3 linked regions of the Arabidopsis thaliana genome follow. The protein of the gene in region 3 purifies or fractionates together with the protein of the main gene of each other region. This does not show direct contact. Each region holds a gene or a part of one and is shown on either strand. Other genes may lie near its edges.

Region 1 (6,414 bases), on a different chromosome or scaffold from region 3:
CTAACCATTTATCTTTGGTAGCTTTGATAGCATTGTTGCCATGACATTCCACTTATCCGTAACTTTGCACAGATACAAACATTGCAGAGCACAATCAACAGCTTCAACATCATCCTTAAAAAAACAAACAGTATATAAATCAATGCACCCTTCATCAATAACTTTTGAGCATAAATCCATATCACTTTTTGCTGCCATCTCCTTCAGCCATTTAACTAGAAAGGACTCCACATTCTGGTTGTTTGTCCCCAAAAACCTTTTCTGCATAAATGGAATTGCCTTCTCATGCAATCTTCTAACCACAGTATCAGCTTTAACCCCTTCAAGCATTATTTTAAATTTCTCATAATCAGATAAATGCTCCCACCCAGCAAGGCTTAAGCTGAAGCAGATTTCGCCTCCAATTTCGTCAGAATAAATTATCTGGTGCAAGTATGATAGATCCTCATGGAACTGTTCCAACTCAGATATGCCTTTTCGACATGCAATATCAATCAAGCAAATGCAGTTGTCTAACAGCCCAGTGGTCGAATCAATATCTCTAGCTCTACTTTTGTACCATGCAGCAAGTTCTTCTGATGATGGCCAATTATACCCCAAACACCTTCTAACAATTGGCTCAGTTTGAATCAGAGAATCATTCTTGCCATTCTCCGGCAAGTTATTAATAAACTTAACCATCTTCTCACATTCAACCCAATCTTCTTCTCTCACTGCCATACTGGTTGGAGGAGATTTTCCCGGAAGAAGATGTGCATACGTTTCAACAGGGACTGTTTCAGGAATAGCTGCCAAAATTTGCAGCATAAACGAAACAAGTGAATAAGGATGCCGCTTAAATAGCAGGTTTAAGGCTCCTATTCTCCCGCTCTCAGCAAGTGAAATAGCAGCCTGATTGATAGGATTACTCCGAAATTTTCTGTAATCCTGCACAGAATATCTGTGGAGACAATGTCATTAACCATTTTAAGAAGTAACTGGATAGTGAAGTTTAACAGCAGATAAAAAGGAACCGAAAATTCTGAAATGCAGAACCCATATGCAAAGAGCTTGGTGATATCAGATGAAACTTGCCTGAGTGGGTATCTAAGGGTGGCAAAAGAGGGTTCTAACTTCTAAGTTTTCAAGTTGCAATCAAACCCACAAAACCACTTTAAACTCTAGAATCGACAAATTCTAACCAAATTCTAAATGACACTCATCCTGTGTTAGATAACCATAGAATCTCCTGGATATGCAAGACTAGTACTATATGGCATACCAGGTTTCCTATCTGCAGAAAGGAAGAGAAGATAGCAAGAGTAAAGATATATACCTGCCCATGCTTATCCCCAAATAGGTGTCAAGCCTTTCACTAAACTGTAATAGACGAAGCCTAGCCAAACGAAATTCCCAAAGTTGTTGGGATTCTTGATCTTCAGATTTAGCAAATACATAGTGATTGGTTAGATAAAGTCCATGCGCAAGTAAGGCCTTCATGGAATCTTCTGTTGGCCCAATTCTATCTAAGCATTCGGAGAGCACAAAAGCTTTATCTTTTATCTTTGATAGAATCGTGCTCACATCACTGACTCCTTTTTCTGACTTCAACCATCTTGACTTGAAAACTTCATCTCTGTCCAAGCCATGACTATCAGAGAAATCTAACGCTTCTTGATATTGGCATTTCTCAACTAAGATTTTATACATTTCAGGAATTGTTTTCTCAGTAAATGATATTAGCCTCCATAACATACTATGCTCACTAGTATGATGAAATTCACTTGCGTCCCTGTCAACATTGGCCAGAGCTGATTTTGCTTCCTGTGTTGAACTTTCTAAAAGAAAAATGTGTCCTTCATATTTCTGAACTCTTTCCACGACAGGCATAGAATAAATGGTAGCATCCTCTTGAACTATAACACACCTACTGATGTCAAATATACTAATGTTACCGCTCCTTTTCAAAATTGCAAGGGCGTGATCAGACCACCAAGTAAAATCTACGACATTTCTTAAACTTTCTTTCCAACTTTGTAGCGACTTATCTGGCTTCAGTGAATCAGAACTGTCTTCAGAAGGACAGCACGAAAGTGTCAATCTTGCTTTATCTAACTGGAAAATATGCACGCACCCATTGCTATCAAGACTTGCAACATGTGACCCTTGAGGGGAGATTAAAGTCTTTGGATATGCCAACTGATCATCTTTGTTCTCACAATACACGCCATCAAACTTTGTGGTGGACAACAATTCCAGACCTAAATTCTGACACTTACGCCAAAGCGAGATACACGATGAACCTGAAAGTAAGTAAATTAAAACATTAATTATCGCAGAATCATGAACCTAACATCTCTGTTCATCGGAAATATTTCAACAACCACATTTTTCATTCAACTATCACAAACACTGATAAAGTATAGGTAGCATTCTCATATAATAGTACGCAGCTATGGTTTGCCAAATTGAATGATTTCAAGCAAGTGTAGCTTTTTAATTACTCCTAATTCCAAACTTTCCTCAACTAAAATAAGTTGTATAAAACTTACCAGAACTCCCTGACGATGATATGCCTGCAACACTACCAACAATGAGAAGAAAAGAAAGATCTGGATGGTAATCAAAGCAGAAAACGTGGTTGGGGAATTGCTTTGAGACACTATTTGAAGCATGCTTGGAAAAGGCAGAAGCACTTGGCTCCCTACTGATCTCGACATGATGAATACGTCCATCTGACGTAAGTATACTGAACGAACACCTGCAGGCAAATTATCATTAGCACAGACCACCAGTCAAAATTTCATATCAGCCGTAGACCTTAAGCAAACAAGTATACTGTAATGGTCAAGGACACATTAGGATCCCAGAGTACTCCTTTAGTCTGTTTTTTTTTTTGAACAAAGTACTCTGTAAGTCTTAATCAATAAGAAATATGAACAGAAGGAAACGTACAAGCATGATGGTTGCAAATCAGAGTCGTCCTCCATTAATCCTAATACTGGTGCAGAAACCTTCAAGTTTCTTTTTGTGACCTGACTTATTTCTTCGCCATTAGCTCTGATGAAAAAGAGGGTCTCACTATCATCCACAAGACCAAGAACATCATGTTTTTCGGACCATACTCCAGAAGTAAATGAACCTGATATGCTGGCTGATGCAGAATACAGAAGTTAGAGGACCATAGCATAGACATCAAAGGACCATAAGTTAAGAAACAGAAAGAAGGAAAACGGTATTGTGAGGAGAGCATATTTTTTTAATGAACAGAATAAATGACTGGTACAGTCTAAGGTTTCACAAAACGGTGATTCCACATACTAAACTTAGAGAGAAAAAGAAGCAAATGCAAGTTTTATAGGCGTTTGTTATCAGAGTAAATCAAGTAGATAGTTTTTGACAAGATAAATGCAATATTCTACAAATTCGTTTATTGAGTGTGCTATGGCAATGACCCCGAAAAACATAATCAGGCAAACATTTGTGAAAGCAAGGGAAGATATGCCAGAATTTCTTACATGTAAAATTGCCACAAGGTTTCCTGTAATCATCATCCTTTCGCAAGATAGTAACGTGATTTCCAGAAGTGACAGCCACAAGTTCTCCTCTTGGTGAAATAAATAACGACACCGGCTTATTAGTTTTTTTCGGATTCCAGTATTCACTCCACTTTTCCTTGAGTTGACTAACACCTTAATACCATAAGAGCACAGAGATGAAGAACCAATGAGCTATACTGCTAATTTAATGAAAAGAGATGTACACAAACATGATTCCTACAAGCTCATAAAACCAAAGATTCAAAAATCACAGATCTCTGAGTTAACCATCTGCGACTGACCTTTGATGGAAACAAGTGACCGAAGTCCTCCTTTCGAATTAGTTCCATCTGCCTAAACTTGGACAGCGGATCAAAGCGTAAGATATAAGTAAAACACTAAATTGTATAAGCAATGATGAATCTTGTACCTGAGGAAGAGGAGGATATCTAGGAACATAAGGCAATGAAGCATGATGACGTATCTCATACAAAACTTTTCTTCCAGGACTTTCCATGATCAATCGAGATCGATCCTCACAGCAGTTTCTAGGAGAAGGAGATCTAATTAGCAGGAGAGAGAGAGAGAGAGAATCAATATAATTTTCTTCACACCCTAACCCCAAAACATCAGCACTCTCGTCGATTTAACCATAAAGTTTGAATTAAACCCTTGACTAATTACTTAATGAATTAGTGCATGGAGATGAATTGGAAGGTGTGAGACAAGATTTGATGACATACCTAAGCACGATTTGGTAATTACGCTCAGAGAGATCGGCGGCGAATTGAGAAGAGAGAACGCAGAAATTAATGGTGTGGCGAAGATCCGGCGGTACGACCTCCTATGGTGGTGACTGTAGAGACTGTGATGAACAAATTTCACGAGGAAGGAGACGAAGACACTATACGACCGGTGAATGTGAACTTCGCCGACGAGCAGAGAAAGTGATGACGACTCCGTAAAAAAAGTTATACATACCTTCTGAAATCAATCGGTTCGGTTCAATTTAGCCAAGAACCGTCCGGTTCAACCATGAAATTAATGTTCTCTTGTCTTATTTTCTTTATACGGCAGATAGGCAATCCAACCGGTCGGTCCAAATTTAAGAGACAACACCCTATGAAACTATTAATTCCGATGTGAATGTGCCCGTCGAATATCTGACTCACCGGATTTTCTAATAAGTCTAAAACATATTTGAAGTGAGCAAAGAAGAGTGAACTAAATACTTATTTGATCTACATAGTTTCGTGTTGGGGCAATTGATCTCTTGTTTAGGTCTACAAGACAACTCTTCCTCAAGTAGGAACACTGATGCTCAAGAAACGCTTTCCAATTATACCGGTTAATTCATCTGTCGCAAAGATATCATTTTCGAGTTCATCACCGTATTTGCTAGTGAAAGAAAAAAAATGGTTGAACAAGAATTCAATGGAGAAAATTAGGAAGAGAGGTAATGTTGATTTGATGAGGTTAAATTTTTTGCCTAACTAATGAACTAGACCAATCCAATCCACAATACCTAAATTTGGTATATCATCATATTTAAAATGCATGAATCTACGGCTAGAAAAGCCATCATCTCAAGAAAGCATATTGAAAATAATATTCCACTTTGAAAATTATGCAAGAATTTAACTGGTAAATAGAAAATACTACAAGTCTATTCTTCTCATAAGATAGTAATGTGTTCAACTTTGTAAAACAAACTAAAACATTTGTACACGGTTAATAACCTCTGGAACACATGTGTGCAAACGACACAAGTTACAAACACATCTTGTTTGCTTAGAGACGTTTGATATAAAATAAAAACATTTGAGGAACTGAGGTAACGAGAGATTGAACACTTCACCAAAATTGTAAAAACCCAAAAAAAAAAAAAAAAAGTGAATCACTCACTCAACTTGCATACTTCCATGAACTTCTGGACTGCGTTATGATACTGAGTTCCCTGAAACCACATAACAAACATTAAATATGTCGGACACTGACTATTAGAGACAGAACAGATCAGAGCTATATAGGAAGTTATGAATCTTGTGGAGATGATTTCTGCTCTAAGACATGAACACATGAAGATGTTTTAAAGAAATCAAGATTCAATTCACCAACTAAGACTTCATACAAATATTAATTGGATCACTGATTTGATAAATATCGTTAGGCAACTAAAATTTGACTGTTCAATCAGCAAAACAACTAACATAGATGGACCAGATGATTTTTTGACACAAGGTATACTCGTTCAAGAACTATAATGCACAACGGCAAAAGATGGGGTAGGTGACTTACCTCCCAGTATAGTTGATGGCAGTTCATGCACTGCCAAAACTCTAAATTTTTGTTAAATAAGCAGTTGGGTATTCTTTGGAAACCCTTTGCTGCTTCAATAGCTTCTTCAATGCTTAGAGGTTTCTGAATAAATTTCCCATTGCACTTCGTACATCTGGACATCAGCTGATTTCCGCTGATCTTTAGCTGGAAAGTCTCTATCACCTGCGAAGCTTATTTGTTTCAGTAATTCACAAAAAATCCGTAATCATTCTACTGAATGTAAGAAAAGTGGTTGCACAGTGAGTGGACGAGGTTATTTTGGCTCGGTGAATCCAAGCATGCCATAATTACAGGTAGTGTAGAAAATGTTCCACCCAGAAAGTAAGGTTAAAAATAAATTTGTTAACTAGTGTCTTGAGAGATCCTATTCTTTAAAGCAAAATTTCCAGGGTATGTGTCCTTTTTGATTAATAAATCTAGTAAACCAAATCATGCCACATCACAGATCTTGCATAACAGCTTATACGTTGAAAATTAACTTTGTTTGTACCTCAAGTAGCTGCTCATTTTTAAGAAGACTCTTTACTCGATATATTTGATGCTTTGCCAAATCCTG
Region 2 (7,623 bases), 3.8 Mb from region 3:
ACTCTCCTTTCTTCCCATTCCATCCAGCTACAACATGTAACATCGCCTGCACACATACATGGAAAAAATATGTAAAAGTTTCTACTCTGTATCGTTTGAGTCAAATTTGAAAGATTCTTCTCACAGATTCTTACCTGAAGATTATGCCAATCCCCTGGATTCCTTGAATCGCTTAGGAACGGTGACTTCTTTGTATCGATCACAAAGTTTATTCCTATGTCCACATACCCTAAAAGTCCCCCTGGGTATCGAGTTAAGAGATCAATCGTGTTCCTTACATGGAGGATCTTTAAGTTCTTGTGACTCATTACTTCGTCTCTGAACTCCTTGTTTCCTACCTGTGGACAACCAAAGACTATAGCAGTGACCGGAACATCATCACTGGAACCGTTCTCAGCTATATCATAGGCGGCCAGAACAGCCTCTGTAGCTCCCAAGCTATGTCCAGTCAACACAATGCTCGGTTTCTCGTCCTTATACTTCAACAGAAGCTCCTTGATCTTGGCTAACAACTGTGACCGTAGACTCAGCTTAGTGAATTTCGATTCGGGGTGATTAGAAGTATAGATTGTGAGCCACCCGAGCATCACCTTACACCCTTCTTCATCTTCACTGTCACTATCAAAAGTCGTACCTTCAACTACACCACCAGAACCATCCTGCTCGGGTCCGTGCAGCAAGGGGTCAGCTGAAGTTGGCCTAGCACCCAAAACATTGACCCACTCATAGTTCCTGCTCGTTCCTCTCAAAGCTATATAGATCTCACGGCGTCCTAAAGCCTTAGACCGTTCATCAGACGTGACAGCAATGTAGCCAAACCAGTTAGACTCACGGTCCCAAGAATCTCTTGATTGTGATTGGAGAAGCAAACCTTCGGGGAGAGAAACACGAGCTGTGGCGTAGAGGAAGTTTACAACCTCGTAGTCGGAAGCGTTTTCGAGCATGACCTTGTCGAAGAAAGAAGATTTGCCGTAGCGGCTGGCTCCACAGTACTTGGAGTTTTGGTCGTTGACGAAGGCATCGTAGGTGGCTTGACAAAAGTCGCCACAACGTAAGATGAGTTCCCTAAGTGATTGGTCTAATGGGTCTAAGATAGTGTCCCAATTCTTTGAGCCTAAGAGTTCTTCCCATGATGTGGTTGTTGTAGCCATTAGAGAGAAATGGTGTGTGTAAGGAGATAATAAGTGACTCTTGACTCTTAAGTTGTTTAACTTTATACAAATGGTTGTGGACTGGTGATGATGCTGTCTGACCCACTTATGTCCAAAGCGATAAAAGGTTATCACTGGTGTGGGAATATTATTGGCATATAGAATTATCCACAAACTTGCACATCATTCTCAACCATACAAAAAAGAGTAAAAATAAACCCAATCAAATAGAGAGAAGAAAATTCAACCAAATCAATCGATACACACGAAAAGAGACTTATTGTTTGTTTGCAACTAATCAAACGCGACGACAGGCTTGTCTTCGTCGTCCGGAATGGCCATGACCCAATCACCAGCCTCGGTCTTGAGCATGCCTTTGTTTTTCGCGACCCCACCAACACCCATCCTTCAATAGTGCAAATGATTTGTTAACCAATGTTATGTTTCAGTTAATCACTTTCATCTCCAATATATCCCCCTTTGATAACATTGCATCCTAGACCCGTTAACTAATATATGATGGGCCATAATAAATCAAAGATAATTCAAAGCCCAAAAAGTGTAAAAAAGCCCAACAAAGTGACGATCATACGACGAACGATATCAAGTTAAGCTATCATGTTCGTCGTCGGTGAGATTTCCCGGCGAAGCGAAAGCAGTGTTTCTCCGGTGGTTCAGGCATCAGTCTGATTTCAGACAACACATCTCATAGTAATTTGATTCTAACTGGCGATTTCACTCTAGCTCGACCAATTGTATCCAATTCTCGTAGCTGAGAGCAATGGCTCTGATCGATGTCGCGATATCTTGTCTCAATTCGATCCGCGAAGTAAGAAATCCGAATTCTCTTTTTTTTTTTTTTTTTTTTTTTTTTCATCTGGTCTCATCTTGTTACACGTTTTGATCTGCTGCACCTGAATCATTACGATTTCTCCATGATCTCGTTTTGCTCGTTTTTGTGTGTTCTTGGGAAATGTAAAAGTACCTTACTGTAATCCTGAACAAGTAAGGTTTAGATATTTTGGAAATGTTTTGTTTTGTAGATAGAAGAGGATGTAAAAGATGCGATTGTGTATATCGATGCTGGCTGCACAGAAAGTTTTCAATTTGTAGGAGCTTTCCCTTTGTTCTTGGAACTAGGTGCTCGAGCTGTCTGCAGTCTTGAAAACATGACTTCCTTAGATGCGGTAAGCTTGTTACCGTTTCTTTTTTTCCTGCACAATGTTGGCTAAGGAATATCCTATCAATCAACGGTTAGTGTTGGTAATTGAGGATCTAGATAAAGAACAGGAAGATTGTTATCCTCATACTTTTGGTATGAAGGGGATCTTTTTACCTAGAAAGTGAGAAATCTTCTGATTTAATTTATATGATGTGACTTTTGATGCCTTGTGCTCTAGGTGGCTGATTGGAATTCAAAGTCTGATTGTGCCAAGAGAATTGTGATTATGACATCTCGACTTCTCAATGATGCTCATCGGTATATGCTACGGTGTCTAAGCACCCATGAAGGTGTTCAGCGCTGCACCGTATTCACATCTATTTCAGAGGTGCTCTTCTTTAACGTTATCCTTGGTCTCATTCTTTATTTAATCTCTTTTTTTTCTCTGGATATATATATTGGCTTTTTTATTTTCTAGAACAATCACAAGCTATTTGACTTATCAACACTAGTGATCGTTATATAATCAAATTCAAAGTGATTGTAATGTATTCTCTAACTTAATTTAGCAGTTCTGCTTCTCTATGCCTTCTTCAAAATAATTTTCCATCTATAAGAGACTCTTCAGAATATTTGTTTCTTTTCTTGCGTCATTGAATATTAATCTGAACGTTGTACAGGGGTCTCACTCAGCTATCCCTGATTCACCTCTAGGTCCAGACGCGTATCGAGAGTATGAAACCTTACTTGTTCAGGATTACAATGAACATACTAAGAAAAGCGACAAAATATCTAAAGACAAAGGGGTTTCTAAGTTCTCTTCTGCACTTGAATCCCTTACTATGGAGCCTATTGAAAGCGAAAATGTAGATATTTCATCAGGTGGTGCACAAGGTTTGGTTGTCTCAGTTCACCACTTCCCCTTGATTATTTGTCCTTTCACTCCTCGAGCGTTTGTCTTACCTTCCCAAGGATCAGTCGCAGAAGCGTCCTTGTCCCGTCAACATGAGGATTCTCTTAGTTTTGGTTTGCCTCCCATAAGTACTGGATCTATGTCTGACACTGATGATGTTCCTCCTGGTGCAACTCTTACCGCACATTTTCTTTACCAGCTGGCCCTTAAGGTAAACTAACACTGCAGTAACCGCTTTGAACTTAATTCACGATGTTCATGAAGTACGTGAGCTAGAACACTAGAAGATATCTGTTTCCCTTGTTTGTCAATAATTTAATTTCTTCTGTACGTTTTTCTTAAATTTGTGACCATGTCGTCACTTTTTTAAAATTGTAGATGGAGTTGAAGTTGGAAATATTTTCACTTGGTGACCAATCGAAGAATGTTGGGAAGATTCTAACAGACATGTCAAGTGTTTATGATGTAGCGCGTCGTAAGCGATCTGCTGGCTTGTTACTTGTTGACCGCACACTTGATCTTATCACTCCCTGCTGTCACGGGGATTCACTTTTCGATCGTATCTTTTCATCTTTGCCTCGGGCAGAAAGATTTTCTTCACAAGCACAGCTTAAACAAGGGGTCCCAAGCATCAATCGTCCTTCTCTTGATGTTCAAGTGCCGCTTGGGGAACTGCTTAATGAAGAACCAAGCAAGATTCGGGATTCTGGTCTTCCTGAAGGAATTGAAGCTTTTTTACGTGGCTGGGATTCATATACCTCTGCTCCACAAAATGTAGGTTTGTTTAATGAATGTGACAAGAAATCTACCACCAACTGGACTGAACTACTAAATGGATCTCTTGTCGCTACTGAATGTTTTAGAGGAACACCTTACTTAGAGGCCATGATTGATAGGAAAACGAAGGATGGAAGTGTACTGGTGAAGAAATGGCTTCAAGAGGCTTTGCGTCGCGAAAATATCTCTGTTAACGTGAGAGCTCGTCCTGGTTATGCTACAAAACCGGAGCTCCAGGCCATGATCAAAGCATTGTCCCAAAGCCAGTCGTCTTTGTTGAAAAATAAAGGGATTATTCAGTTAGGGGCAGCTACAGCCGCTGCTCTTGATGAATCTCAAAGTGCCAAATGGGATACTTTTAGCAGTGCGGAGATGATGTTAAACGTAAGTGCTGGTGATACGAGTCAGGGTTTGGCTGCTCAAATTAGTGACCTGATCAACAAAAGCGCTGTGGCAGAACTTCAAGCGAAGAAAAACGAGAAACCAGATTCCTCATCACGAGGGCTGCTATCTTTTCGTGATGCCCTGCTTCTTACAATAGTTGGTTACATTCTTGCTGGCGAAAATTTCCCTACATCTGGCTCAGGTGGGCCTTTCTCTTGGCAAGAAGAGCATTTTCTAAAAGAAGCCATTGTCGATGCTGTTCTGGAGAATCCATCAGCAGGAAATCTCAAGTTTCTTAATGGGTTGACAGAAGAGCTTGAGGGCAGATTGAATCGTCTCAAGTCTGAGGAAACCAAAGAAATTCCCTCTGATGATCAATTAGACATTGATGCTCTTGATGATGATCCATGGGGGAAATGGGGTGACGAGGAAGAAGAAGAAGTTGACAATAGTAAAGCAGACGAGTCCTATGACGATATGCAGCTGAAACTGGATTTGCGTGATAGAGTAGACAGCTTATTTAGGTTCCTCCACAAGTTATCGAGTCTAAGAACAAGGAATCTACCATTAAGAGAAGGCTCATTGGCTTCAGAGAGCAGCTTTCCTGGCGAGCCTTCTGGAAACAAAGGGCTAGTCTACAGGCTTATAACAAAAGTGTTGAGCAAACAAGAGATACCCGGTTTAGAATACCATTCTTCAACTGTTGGAAGATTTATTAAAAGCGGATTTGGAAGGTTTGGTCTTGGTCAGGTTAGTTAGACCTTTCTCTCTACCCATGACTTTCATTTTCCTACACAAGATATACATTAATGTTTGGCAATGCTATTGCAGGCAAAACCAAGCCTGGCAGACCAGAGTGTCATTCTTGTCTTTGTCATTGGAGGTATCAACGGTATAGAGGTGAGTTTCTTCATCACAAAAGTCACCTCGCATTCACGTTGTAGGGCTATATTTTTTATAACTGTCTATGTTTCCTCCATTGTTAAGGTTTTGGAAGCTCAAGAGGCTGTGTCAGAGAGCGGAAGACCAGACATTAACTTGGTTATTGGAGGAACGACACTTCTAACCCCCGACGACATGTTTGAGTTATTGTTGGGACAATTCAGCCATTTTTGATATCTTGCAAACTGACCTCACTCTCATAATCTCTGTTGTTAGCTTGTAACATTAGAAGAAACAGAAATACCCATGAATAAATTAATGATCGAATGTTAAAATCTACAAAACAATAGTTCCATTTTCAAGAGATAAGAAAAGATTGGTTATTAATTGTGAATAAGAGATTTTTCAAAAAAAAATCTCAAATTATTTATATCTTTGGTCCCTAAAGTTTTATAACATTTACAGAAAAGCTTTTAAGTTAAAAATCAGAAATCTCCTTAAACCCCCAAAATCACATTTCACACGAAAAACCTCGAGTGAGTGAAGAAACAATGGCAGCTATGAAGCTCCTACTCTCTCAAGCTCGCCGCCAAGGTCTAATCAAACCCTTTTCGTCTCCATTTCAACAAATCCCAAGACTCTTCTCTTCATCTTCATCTTCATCTTCATCTTCATCTTCATCATCCGATTCGAATCCATCTCCCGATTCAAACGAATCTCGCAAAAAGGCTGTTACAATCGAGCCAGTATCGTACGCGGCCAAACCCAAGGATCAGAAATCTGAACCGAAAAATGTTGAATCGACGGAGAACCTTCAGTCTCCAGAATCAGCGAACTGGACTCGTGAAGAAATCCGATATGTGAAAGACTCTCCTTCGATCAATCCGGTTTCTTACGCTCAGCGTGTGGCTCCACTTCCGGAGGATCGTGTCGCCGGTGAGAATGAAGGAGATAGAACTCCAGAGGAGATGGAGAGGGAGAGGAAGAGGATTGAATTAGAGAATCGAGCTAGAAGAAGGTTTTTAAGAGCTAATGCTGTTGAAGAAGATACTTCTTCACTTCCTTTGCCAACTTTGCTTAAACCAGAGTTGAAGCATGGAAAGAAACCTATTTTCGATCTCATGGAGGCCATTAGAGAGATTAAGGTCAGGATTCTTAATATGAGCTGCCATTGTAATAGAATGGAAGCTACACTATTTAGGGTTCTTTTAATTTATTTATTTTGTGTCAAAGGATTAATTTTTTTGCTTGTTTCGTAGTTAGGGGATTTCAAATGACTATTATAAAGGAAGCTATGATGATTAGGATCATATGACTATATAATGTGAAACATAAGGAGTCTTGGAAGAATTGTTAGACGTTGTGGATTAGTTTAGATCATGCAAGTTTTGTGTAATGGTGGTACTGTGAGATTTGTGGATTCTGTAAACTGGTAATAGTTGTTGTTGCTGAGTTGATTTACAAGTTGAGTGAGTGAGGGCAATGCATCCCTTTTGTTCGTATGGTTTTCATTTCTGATGCTGTTTTTATCAATGGTTCAGGGCAATGCCAAGGCGAAATTTGATGAAACTCTTGAGGCGCATGTGAGATTGGGCATTGAAAAAGGAAGATCTGAGCTGGTATGTGATGCATTTATTTTCTCTGGAAATACATTAATTTCTCTATCCTATTCTTAATAAAAAGATCGCGTTCTTAGCATTTTGGTTGATTGCCCCTGGCTTTATCTCTAGACTGACTGCTATCACTGTTTAAATTGCAGATAGTTCGTGGTACTTTGGCTCTACCCCACTCTGTTAAGAAGGTAAAAGAAATGCATTTGTAATCCATAATCGGAATTTCTATTTTACCAGCCACTAATATAATACAAGAAATGATCTTCCTTGTTCAGGATGTGAAAGTGGCTTTCTTTGCCGAGGGAGCTGATGCAGAGGATGCAAAAGCTGCAGGAGCTGATGTCGTTGGTGGTCTTGAGCTTATTGAAGAGATCTTGAGTAATGAACCAATGCATTCTACTTCAATTCATTCTGACATCTAATTGAACATGCTTGCATTTGGCTCTGCCACAACTTATCTCATTTCCTGAGCAATCTTTTTGTTTATCGAATTATGTTCCAGTGGTAGATTATTTATCTGTGTACCTTAACTCTATCTGCAGAAAGTGGCAAGATTGACTTTGATAGATGTCTTGCAACTCCAAAAATGATGCCCCGTGTTTACAAGGTTCTTGGATTTGAGCACTTGTTTAAATTCTTTGGAACATGATGTTGCGATATCTTCTCACATAACATACATATGGTTTGTGCTTATTTGCAGATATCAAGAATTCTTAACAATCATGGTTTGATGCCAAACCC
Region 3 (8,962 bases):
AGCTTCGACATTCCATCAACCAACATGAAGTGAGCGTTTTTTCGTTCCTTTAGCTGCTCTTTTATGGCGTCTATATTACATTACATATGAGTAAACATAAATAGACATAAATGAATTTAAACTTATATGTACGCATGAAGAAAGAAGTAAAACGAACCTTCAAATGACGTTAGACCCATTTTGAGCATGATGGTCGTCGTATAATACACCGTAGTAGATTTTTTTAGTTGTATTGGAGTGAGAAGAAAGTAGTAAGCATATGTCTGTATATATAGACAGGTTCCTTGACAAAGGGGTTTCAATTAGGGTATAAATTGAACCGGTTATATATATCTTAGTTGCTCTTAGAAAGAAAAAAAGAAAAAACAAGTTTAATTTAATGTAGAGCCGGTTTTTCGGCTAATTTATTCACCCCTACACATGTTTGGTCTTGACAGGAATCCGTATGGTCCAAATTGATAACCTTGAGGATATATTCATTTGCACATCATTCAACATAAAAATTACTTTGTATTAAATACTTTTTTGGTAACCAAAAAGTTTTAAATGTAAGAATATCCAAACTCTTTTCGGGTTAACAACTACAACAAGTTAAAATAGTTCGTTTCCTATGTTAAGTTCAAATTCATGTTTTGTATTTAATCTTATCTACGGTTGTAACCGTTTATTTAATCTATCTCATTTATGTATCATTCCGGGACTTTTCGGCATCGAGTACCCGGTTTCTTTCGGTTGTAATCGCATTCGAAGATTAATATAATATTGTTGACAAAAAAAGGGTTTCAAATTCATGACTTCGAAGCTATATTAGATGCTGAATTTTGGTTAAACATAATAAAGCAATTTATCTTTCCTTGGGTAAATGAATAGACCGATAAATATGTGACCCTATTAGAAGGACCTAGTGCATGGGGCGTTACTTTGGGAATATCATTTGTAAATTGTACATATTGTATAATATCATTAGTTGATACAGCTGATACATCTCCCACTACGTTGCATGCATACAAAATTATAATATCATTTGTTGCATGTCCCAGATCTGAGCACAAAACTTTACGTAACTAGTGTTGCTAATATAATGCTACCACATGAACTGGCTGGCCGGTCTAACAAAATCCAAGCTAGAGAAGATAACTAAATTCCACATAGAAATAGAAATATTCGATCATATCTAGTACGAATCCTCCGGTCCCGTCAAACACACTAGCTTTTATTTTGTTTCTACCAAGCACATTCGTTTTGACATGTACGACCAATTAAGCACCTACATGTATTCCCACGTTATCTAGAATCTAACAACAGTGGGGTGACAATTATAAAGGCGAGATATGTACGCCTAGCCAGAGACGAGCAACACAATGCAATGTGCCTAGATATATTTCTTCTTTTATCAATAACTTTTTTTTCTTACATCCATTTTTTATTTAACATCTATTTAACTTAAAACATTTCTCTCTCTCTTTTGTTTACTTTATATTTAGAAATTTTACTTTTATGAAACATTCTTCATGGCTTTTTTGTTTTTTTTTTCTTCATTATTTGTTTTGTTTACAATATCTCTACAAATTTTGAACCAAGATATGGTATAATGTACTTATTTAACAGTACTATGTTAATTTTTGTTTTAATTTGAAGTAAAACTTATAACGAATTTTTATTTGAATATCAAAAAACGACCATATTTTAATATTTTCTTTAGTTGTTTTGGCCTCTAAAATATTAGAAACGGCTTTGATTAGAGATATCTTTATTTTTACAAAAATAATAATAATAAGTATGGTTCACCAAACAATGCGCAAACCCGACAAAACATTCAACGGTTACAAATGACTAAACCAATCAGAAAATTCTTTATTTAGCAACAAATCTTCACTATATAATAGCGCAAATGTTTATTGGGAATAAGAAGTAAAAAGTAAAAAAGTTTATCAATAAGGAAAAATGGGTATATCCAAGAAAACAGTTGTACAATCATTTGCTCTTATAATTATTATATCTATCGTCATGAGCACAACGGAGGCAAACAGTATAGGCGCTCCAGCTATGCGAGAAGATTTACCCAAAGGTTGTGCTCCTGGATCTTCAGCTGGTTGCAAGATGCAACCGGCTAATCCGTATAAACCAGGTTGCGAAGCTAGCCAAAGATGTCGTGGGGGTTGATACTATGAGATATAATTTTTCTTGAAAAAAGAAGAAAAGATAAAATTACATAAATAAAACTTAATTTTTCAACTAAATTAGTAAAACTATAAAATACAAAATTTTTGTAACTAATTCTATGAGAATAATGTTTTTTTAAGTAGCAGCAAGCTGAGACTGGTACGTGTATGGTAAGCTAGTATTGTCTAACTTAGCAAAAGATAATTGTATATTACCAGTCATTTGTTATATTTTTGGATATTTATGTAGAAAATTCATGTGTATTGTTATATAAGAAAATAATTAATATATTTTGTTGTTTTTTTTAAATAAATAATGTACTTATAATAGAGGTAAAATGTGTAACGCTAGGATAAGTACATTCTTGTCGGATCCAAGAAAGTTAGTAAACCATATATTTAAGGCAACAGGTTCTTCTTCGGATCATAATCTCTCTCATTAAGGGGAAAAAAGAAAAAGCAAATAGATTAAGAGAAAAACAGAAGAATCGGAAAAAACTTGAGAAAAGAAAATGGAAACGAAAAAAAAGTAATAAATAAATAGCCCTATATATAAAGAATGCATCATGCATGCATGATCAAGCATATATCCTCATCTTGTTGATCACTTTGTAAACATCATCCACATCATCGTCGTCGTCTTCTTTCACCGCCTCCACACACCGCTCATTATCGTCCCCGAGGCTGCCATCGCCGCCGCCGCATCCTCCTCTACTGACGTCAGCAGCAGCACCAGACTCGACTCTCATGAAGAAATTGCATAGGAGAAGTGTTAAGAAGCAACATATAATAAATTCTCTAGATGCAGCCATGGATCAGACACTTTCTCTCTATCTCTCTTTCTCTTGTCTGAAAAACAAATGATAATATAGATTAATCCAACTTACTTTAAAAGCTTTTGTTCTTTTTATTTACTATGTTCTTTTGTTATGCTTTTCTCTTACAATTGTGCTTATATAAGAAATGGAATTTACTATTAATGGAGTAGAGTGATTTCTTTTGAGCTGGTCTTAAGGCTAAGTAACTGTTGCAGTATTTTACTTGAATATTCATAGCAAAAATAAAGAAAATCATTTAAATAAGTGGTACGTTAGTGACAAGGAACAAAAAAATGACATGTTTTCGATGTCAAAAAACATACATTATTACAAGTTCCCGATGAAGACTTGGGCCTTGAGCCTAACATTTTATTTGATAGGCCCAATAGTAAAAGTAAAATAAAAACGTCCGTGTTCAATAAGGTCCATCGTCACCGCCAAATCTATCACCGCCAATTACTCTCTAATCGGAAAAGAGCCCCGACGACAACGACCACCGTCCCTCCGTCATGCCGGAGATAGACGCGTTGTTTGAATCGATCAATGTTCGGGACCTTCTCGCCGGACACGATCTAAACGATCCCACAACTCCGTTATCTGCACCGGATCTCCGTCTCCTCATAAACCGCTTAGAGTCTCATTCTCTGCGGATCAAGTCCAAAGTTCAGTCTTATCTCGTCGCTCATCACTCTGATTTCTCGGAGCTATTTTCTCTTTGTCAAGACACCGTCTCGAGGACTCGTCTGATCTCCGATGACGTCTCCGATGTCCTACAATTGGTTTCTGACCGTCCGATTGATGTTGAGATACGCAGTGTGGTAGATGAGATAACGGAAAAGACTAAGGAAGTGAAATTGAAAAGAGAATCTCTTGATTTAGTGAATGCGATCGTGGGAATTTGTGAGGCATTGCAGGAAACGAAGGAAGCTTTGAAAAATGGACGTTTCAGATTCGCCGCTGAGAGAATCAGAGAACTTAAAGTTGTATTGAGAATTGGTGAAGAGGAAGATGGAGAACCTGTGGCTTACGCTTTACTTAGGAAGGAATGGTCTAATTGCTTTGACGAGGTGCAACCTTAGTTAAACTCAGTGCCAATGGCTAGCTTAGTGTCTTTAATCTTCGAATTTGCATCCACATTTCAAAGAATCGTGTATGTGTTTTGCAGATTCAAGAGGTGCTTGCAAAGTTCATGGAGAATGCAGTGCGTTTTGAGCTAGACTCGAGTAGAATCCGGATTAAGTATCAGCTAAGCGTTGGTGAGACTGCTGGAATCGCTCTTAGTACTGTTCTAGAGGCAATGGAGGTATGGATATATGATTTGACTTCTGTATCAATTTTTATTTTTATTTCTGTGTTAAGTCATTTGTTAGATTACACTTTTTGGCATTTGACTGTTCTGGATTTATCTAGGTGATTGGAATATTAGACTATGGGCTTGCGAAAGCAGCTGACTCAATCTTTAAGCATGTCATCACTCCAGCTGTAACTCATGCATCTACCTTTGCCGCTGTGGAAGATTTATGTAAATCCGCAGGGGAAGTCACCGAAGCGACACTAAGGCTAGAGCAATCCTCAGATCATAAGGTCTAGAGAAGCCTCTGTCCATCTCATGAATATCTTCTTTGTCTCTAGCCTATATAGATTATGTGCTTTTTATATTTCCTGCATTTGGTCTATGTCTTCTGAACCTTTAAATACTTACCCACTTAATAATGCAGTTTGAAGATGTGGATGGAGATGCAATGTATTCTGGAATTCTTAAGGTTGTTAAGTTCATTTGCAGTTCCTTGTGCTTTGGAAACGTTACATGGATCCATTCTTTTGGGAGGTTGACATGGCCGAGGATATCAGAGTTAATTATATCTAAATTTCTTTCAAAGGTTTGCTTTTAGAACTCGTGAAGTTGTGAAATTTTGTAGAAATTTCTTTGGTGTGAGAGCACTCTTCTCCTTTGTACTTTAACTGTTGTAGTCTGTTTAAAGGTTATTGTTTTCTTTGGAGTCAGGTTGTCCCAGAAGATGCTTCAAAACTTGCTGACTTTCAGAAAATTATCGAGCGGACCTCTCAATTCGAAGCCGCTCTAAAGGAACTGAATTTTGTTTCATCATCTGACGCAGAGAGTAGGCTCAGCAAATATGCTGAAGATGTGGAGGTTCATTTTGCATCTAGAAAGAAGATAGAAATCCTAGCAAAAGCAAGAAATTTGCTGTTGCAGTGTAACTTTACGATTCCCCAGGTGGGCTTTTGATTTTCATCATCATCATGTCATATTTACCGCATTAACCTTTTCATGTGAAAGATCAGGATTGTGAACTCCGTTTTCCAGGATATTGCTATGAGGAATGCCAAGCACATCGTCTGCTTACTTTTCTCCTCTGAAAGGTGTGTGGTATCTGAAGCTGCATCTCAACTTATGAATTTGGTGCATAAGACGCTCGAGGTGGCTCTTTTCAGACTTTTGCAATTCAATATAAGCTTTTTCCAGACACGGTTGGGATAATAAACTCATTTTTATACAGGATGTCTGTGTTTCTTCTGCAAGGGTTGCTTCAGAGTTCTACAACGCTGCTAGAGATTCTATCCTTCTATATGAAGCTGTTGTTCCTGTCAAGGTCAGTAAAAAAATAGTTTTCAATGAAGATTTAACAACTGAATCAATATAGTGACTGTCGTCACATGGAAATTTCTCACCAATATGCACAAATTCTTATTCTTCTTTTTCCTTACTCCGTTGAAATGTGAAGCTAGAGAAACAACTCGATGGCCTCAATGAAGCTGCTGTTCTTCTGCACAACGATTGTCTATATTTGTTCGAAGAGATACTTGGCCTTGCTTTTGAGGTATGAACAATGTGTCTTAAGCAAGATAAACCGCTATTTTTAATTTCTTTTTTTCGGTTAAGTAATTGTCTTCTTAAGCATCCTTTTCATTGACAGGTGAAAGTTATAATTATCCCCTTCTGCTGACTTTATCATCATTTTTTGTTCACAGTATCGTGCTAGCTTCCCTAGCTCCATCAAGGAGTATGCAGTCTTTGCTGACATAGCCCCAAGATTTAAACTGATGGCCGAAGAAGTTTTGCAAAAACAAGTTCATCTAGTAATTTCAAGTCTGCGAGAGGTGAATCTGTGTGGAAAAAACTGTGCTTAAATCTTACAAAGTAATATTATGTACTCAGTATTGATTCCTCGTCTAACATTTTGCATCTACGATCAGGCTATAGATAGTGCAGATGGATTTCAGAATACTCATCAAATTAAACAGTTTAAATCTGCAGAATTTAGCATTGATCAGGTAAACACACAGACTTGAAATTGTTTGCTTTTCTCTTACCTTCTTTCCAATAAAGTGTCAGTTATATGAGGAAAATGCAATTGTTTTATAGGTTGTCTTTAGTCTAAAGAATGTGCATATGATATGGGAGCCAGTCTTACGGCCCAAAACTTACAAGCAAAGCATGTGCGCAGTTTTGGAGTCTGTATTTCGCAGAATAGCTAGAGATATTCTTCTTCTAGACGACATGGCTGCTGACGAAACTTTCGAGGTAGCTGTTTCTCCTTGCTAGTCGCTTCTGCAATGTTATATTTTAACTGCGTAATGAAAATGTTTGCTTATATATTCTCAGCTACAAAAACTGATTTATCTCATGTTGAAGAATCTATCTTCTGTACTCGATTCCGTGAGATCTGCAGATGAGACTTCTCGTCCTCTTGATGATATCATACCATCTTTGCGCAAAACCCGTAAACTAGCAGGCATGTCTTTTCTTTCTTTTTTCTTTTAAATATCCCTCAGTTTATTGCTAACTTGACATTGGCGCAGCGAAGTTTTCTTACCATGGCTTTTCTTATTGTTTATCATTTTCCAGAACTATTGGATATGCCTCTCATGTCTATAACTTCAGCTTGGGAAAGCGGGGAGTTATTTAGATGCAATTTCACAAGAACAGAGGTACAATCTTTTTAAATCGTTTGACCTCGTGTCCTACTACCTGATATATGGATTAAGGCTATTTCTTATGGTGATTATTGGATCTTTGATTATTGGTTATGGTGATTCTGAAAGCTTTTGGAATGTACTTGGTTACAGGTACAAGATTTCATCAAAGCTATATTTACAGATTCGCCGCTGAGAAAAGAATGCTTATGGAGGATAGACGAGGTTAACCAGTAGATTGGAAATGATAAAACTTAAAAAAAAAACTCAAGACTTGTGAGAAGAAGCAAGTGAAAGCCTATTTTGGCAAAAGAGCCATGAGGTATTTTAATGTCAGCAGCTTGTAACATCGACGACGCACTCTTGTGTAAGAATATATATGTAAAGAGAGTTTTAGCTGATGAGTTTAAAACTTTAGGTTTAAAAGCGTGTTCCAGATTTTGTTGTACATTTGGGCTTTAGATTCAACAAGTAAAACGCTCTGGGTAACAACAATTTTCCGGTACAAATTCTCCAAATATTGCATTTTCCAGTTAGCTAAAAACTTGAAAACCCTTAACTAAGAAACTAATATAAAAAAAATAAAAATAAAAAAGAAGAAACTGATAGGATATTGAAAACCGTAACACATGAAAACACTAAATATTTCTATGAAATTATTGATACAATGATTTTCAATGAAATTAAACTTTTGATATACTTATTCAAATATAATGTATGATGTGTTTAGATGCTAATATTATATTAAAAACTATTTCATAAACTAATATTAAGTTATGAACACTAGGAAAATATTTTGGTCTCATAAACCAACAAAATTACATTAAGAAATAGAGTTAAGAGACATTGGTATTTTTCCTTTTTTTTTTTTGTCGACATTGGTATTTTTCCTTATGTTGGCCACATGTTTAAAATGTTAACAAAATCACATAACGGTCATAATTAAGGGCCCGAAAAGGAAAAATTTCATTAGAAGATCTTATTAGATTTAGTGATCTATCAAGAACTTGAGATGACGTCATATATTTCTATTTAATAACACCACACATCTATCTATCTCTACCTTCTCTCTTACTTTCAAGTTTCCATTCTCACGCTCATTGTCTTTCCTCTAGCTCTCTTTCTTTCTTTCTTCTTCCCCATCTTTAGGTTTCTTGCGTACAACGTTACAAATTCTTTTTACAATTTCCCATGTCTTCCAGAGAATCGAAGAGAATGGATGAATCTGATGATCCTAGGGTTTCAGAGTCGAGTGAATTCTCAAACTTCGAGATGTTGATACAAGTCGCTGTCATGGTTTACGATCATGAGTACGGTACTCATGACGAACACAAGTCAAAGACCATTGACGAAGATACAGAGACAGAAGCAAGAATCTTTGGAGATACAATACCTAGAAAGAACAGAACTCACCGATCATCTTCTTCTTCTAACAAGACGATAACACCATGGACGCGTGTGATCGAACAACAGAGATCATCTGAACTACAAAACCCTAACCCGGAATCTGAACCTTCTTCTTCCTCTTGCGTTACCCACTTCAAGAAACGTCGCCACATGGACAAAGAAGAGAGTACTCGCAAGAGACTCAAAATCGATAGTCCTTTAGAGGTGGAACCAATTCAAACATCACCACCGGAATGGCTTTTGAAAGTAATGAAGAGAGAAGAGAACAGCTACAATCCAAAATTGATCTCAACGAGAAAACTCTATAAGACTGATCTCGCTAGTCTTCAAGCACGTCTCTCAGTACCTTTTAAACAAGTGAAAAGTCCAGACTTTTTAACAGAGGAAGAAACAAGAATCATAAAGGAACAAGCTTTCTTCCTCTAAACTCTTTGGTCAATTCCTTCTTCTTTCTATTCGATTGTGATAAGATCTTTCTAGAGATCTAATCAGAACCTTGTGCCGCGGATTTGGAGAAACATCATCATCATCGTCATAGAAATCCTGCTCTTTCTTCGATTCTGTAAGAGTTCTTCGAGCAGACTCTAGATTCGATTTGTTTTTTTCCTTTTCGGGTTTGTTTCAAATCAATCTCAATTT

What was found. The genes of interacting proteins can lie anywhere in the genome.
Region 1: the proteins of ATZW10 (region 3) and AT5G24350 purify together in Arabidopsis thaliana (affinity purification with mass spectrometry, with the first as the bait; one study listed by BioGRID). This does not show direct contact.
Region 2: the proteins of ATZW10 (region 3) and AT2G42700 purify together in Arabidopsis thaliana (affinity purification with mass spectrometry, with the first as the bait; one study listed by BioGRID). This does not show direct contact.

The regions. Positions count from the first base shown.
Region 1 is NC_003076.8:8,299,158-8,305,571, reverse strand, and holds the start of AT5G24350 (neuroblastoma-amplified sequence protein), read right to left. Parts: upstream 4,468-6,414; 5' UTR 4,262-4,467; intron 4,082-4,261; exon of another isoform or gene 4,067-4,081; 5' UTR 4,036-4,066; coding exon 3,949-4,035; intron 3,873-3,948; coding exon 3,821-3,872; intron 3,672-3,820; coding exon 3,498-3,671; intron 3,134-3,497; coding exon 2,935-3,133; intron 2,741-2,934; coding exon 2,532-2,740; intron 2,283-2,531; coding exon 1,316-2,282; intron 1,087-1,315; coding exon 1,014-1,086; intron 941-1,013; coding exon of another isoform or gene 928-940; coding exon 6-927; intron 1-5. Other genes in the region: AT5G24340 (3'-5' exonuclease domain-containing protein), read right to left, coding at 5,724-6,020, 6,349-6,414. UniProt on the Arabidopsis thaliana protein: Required for proper maturation of seed storage proteins. Forms a complex with MAG2, ZW10/MIP1 and MIP3 on the endoplasmic reticulum that may be responsible for efficient transport of seed storage proteins.
Region 2 is NC_003071.7:17,776,532-17,784,154, forward strand, and holds AT2G42700 (vesicle docking protein), read left to right. Parts: upstream 1-1,742; 5' UTR 1,743-1,932; coding exon 1,933-1,980; intron 1,981-2,142; exon of another isoform or gene 2,143-2,194; coding exon 2,195-2,338; intron 2,339-2,551; coding exon 2,552-2,701; intron 2,702-2,993; coding exon 2,994-3,437; intron 3,438-3,604; coding exon 3,605-5,137; intron 5,138-5,218; coding exon 5,219-5,503; 3' UTR 5,504-5,656; downstream 5,657-7,623. Other genes in the region: AT2G42690 (alpha/beta-Hydrolases superfamily protein), read right to left, coding at 1-46, 135-1,151; AT2G42710 (Ribosomal protein L1p/L10e family), read left to right, coding at 5,821-6,414, 6,811-6,888, 7,029-7,070, 7,158-7,260, 7,425-7,489, 7,583-7,623. UniProt on the Arabidopsis thaliana protein: Required for proper maturation of seed storage proteins. Forms a complex with MAG2, ZW10/MIP1 and MIP2 on the endoplasmic reticulum that may be responsible for efficient transport of seed storage proteins.
Region 3 is NC_003071.7:13,950,318-13,959,279, forward strand, and holds ATZW10 (centromere/kinetochore protein, putative (ZW10)), read left to right. Parts: upstream 1-3,347; 5' UTR 3,348-3,489; coding exon 3,490-4,047; intron 4,048-4,145; coding exon 4,146-4,283; intron 4,284-4,390; coding exon 4,391-4,564; intron 4,565-4,698; coding exon 4,699-4,860; intron 4,861-4,985; coding exon 4,986-5,216; intron 5,217-5,306; coding exon 5,307-5,420; intron 5,421-5,499; coding exon 5,500-5,592; intron 5,593-5,724; coding exon 5,725-5,820; intron 5,821-5,971; coding exon 5,972-6,100; intron 6,101-6,196; coding exon 6,197-6,274; intron 6,275-6,365; coding exon 6,366-6,524; intron 6,525-6,605; coding exon 6,606-6,735; intron 6,736-6,848; coding exon 6,849-6,931; intron 6,932-7,069; coding exon 7,070-7,153; 3' UTR 7,154-7,431; downstream 7,432-8,962. Other genes in the region: AT2G32880 (TRAF-like family protein), read right to left, coding at 1-70, 158-188; AT2G32885 (Rapid alkalinization factor (RALF) family protein), read left to right, coding at 1,945-2,163; RALFL17 (RALF-like 17), read right to left, coding at 2,741-2,974; AT2G32905 (B3 domain protein, putative (DUF313)), read left to right, coding at 8,108-8,749. UniProt on the Arabidopsis thaliana protein: May be required for accurate chromosome segregation. Required for proper maturation of seed storage proteins. Forms a complex with MAG2, MIP2 and MIP3 on the endoplasmic reticulum that may be responsible for efficient transport of seed storage proteins.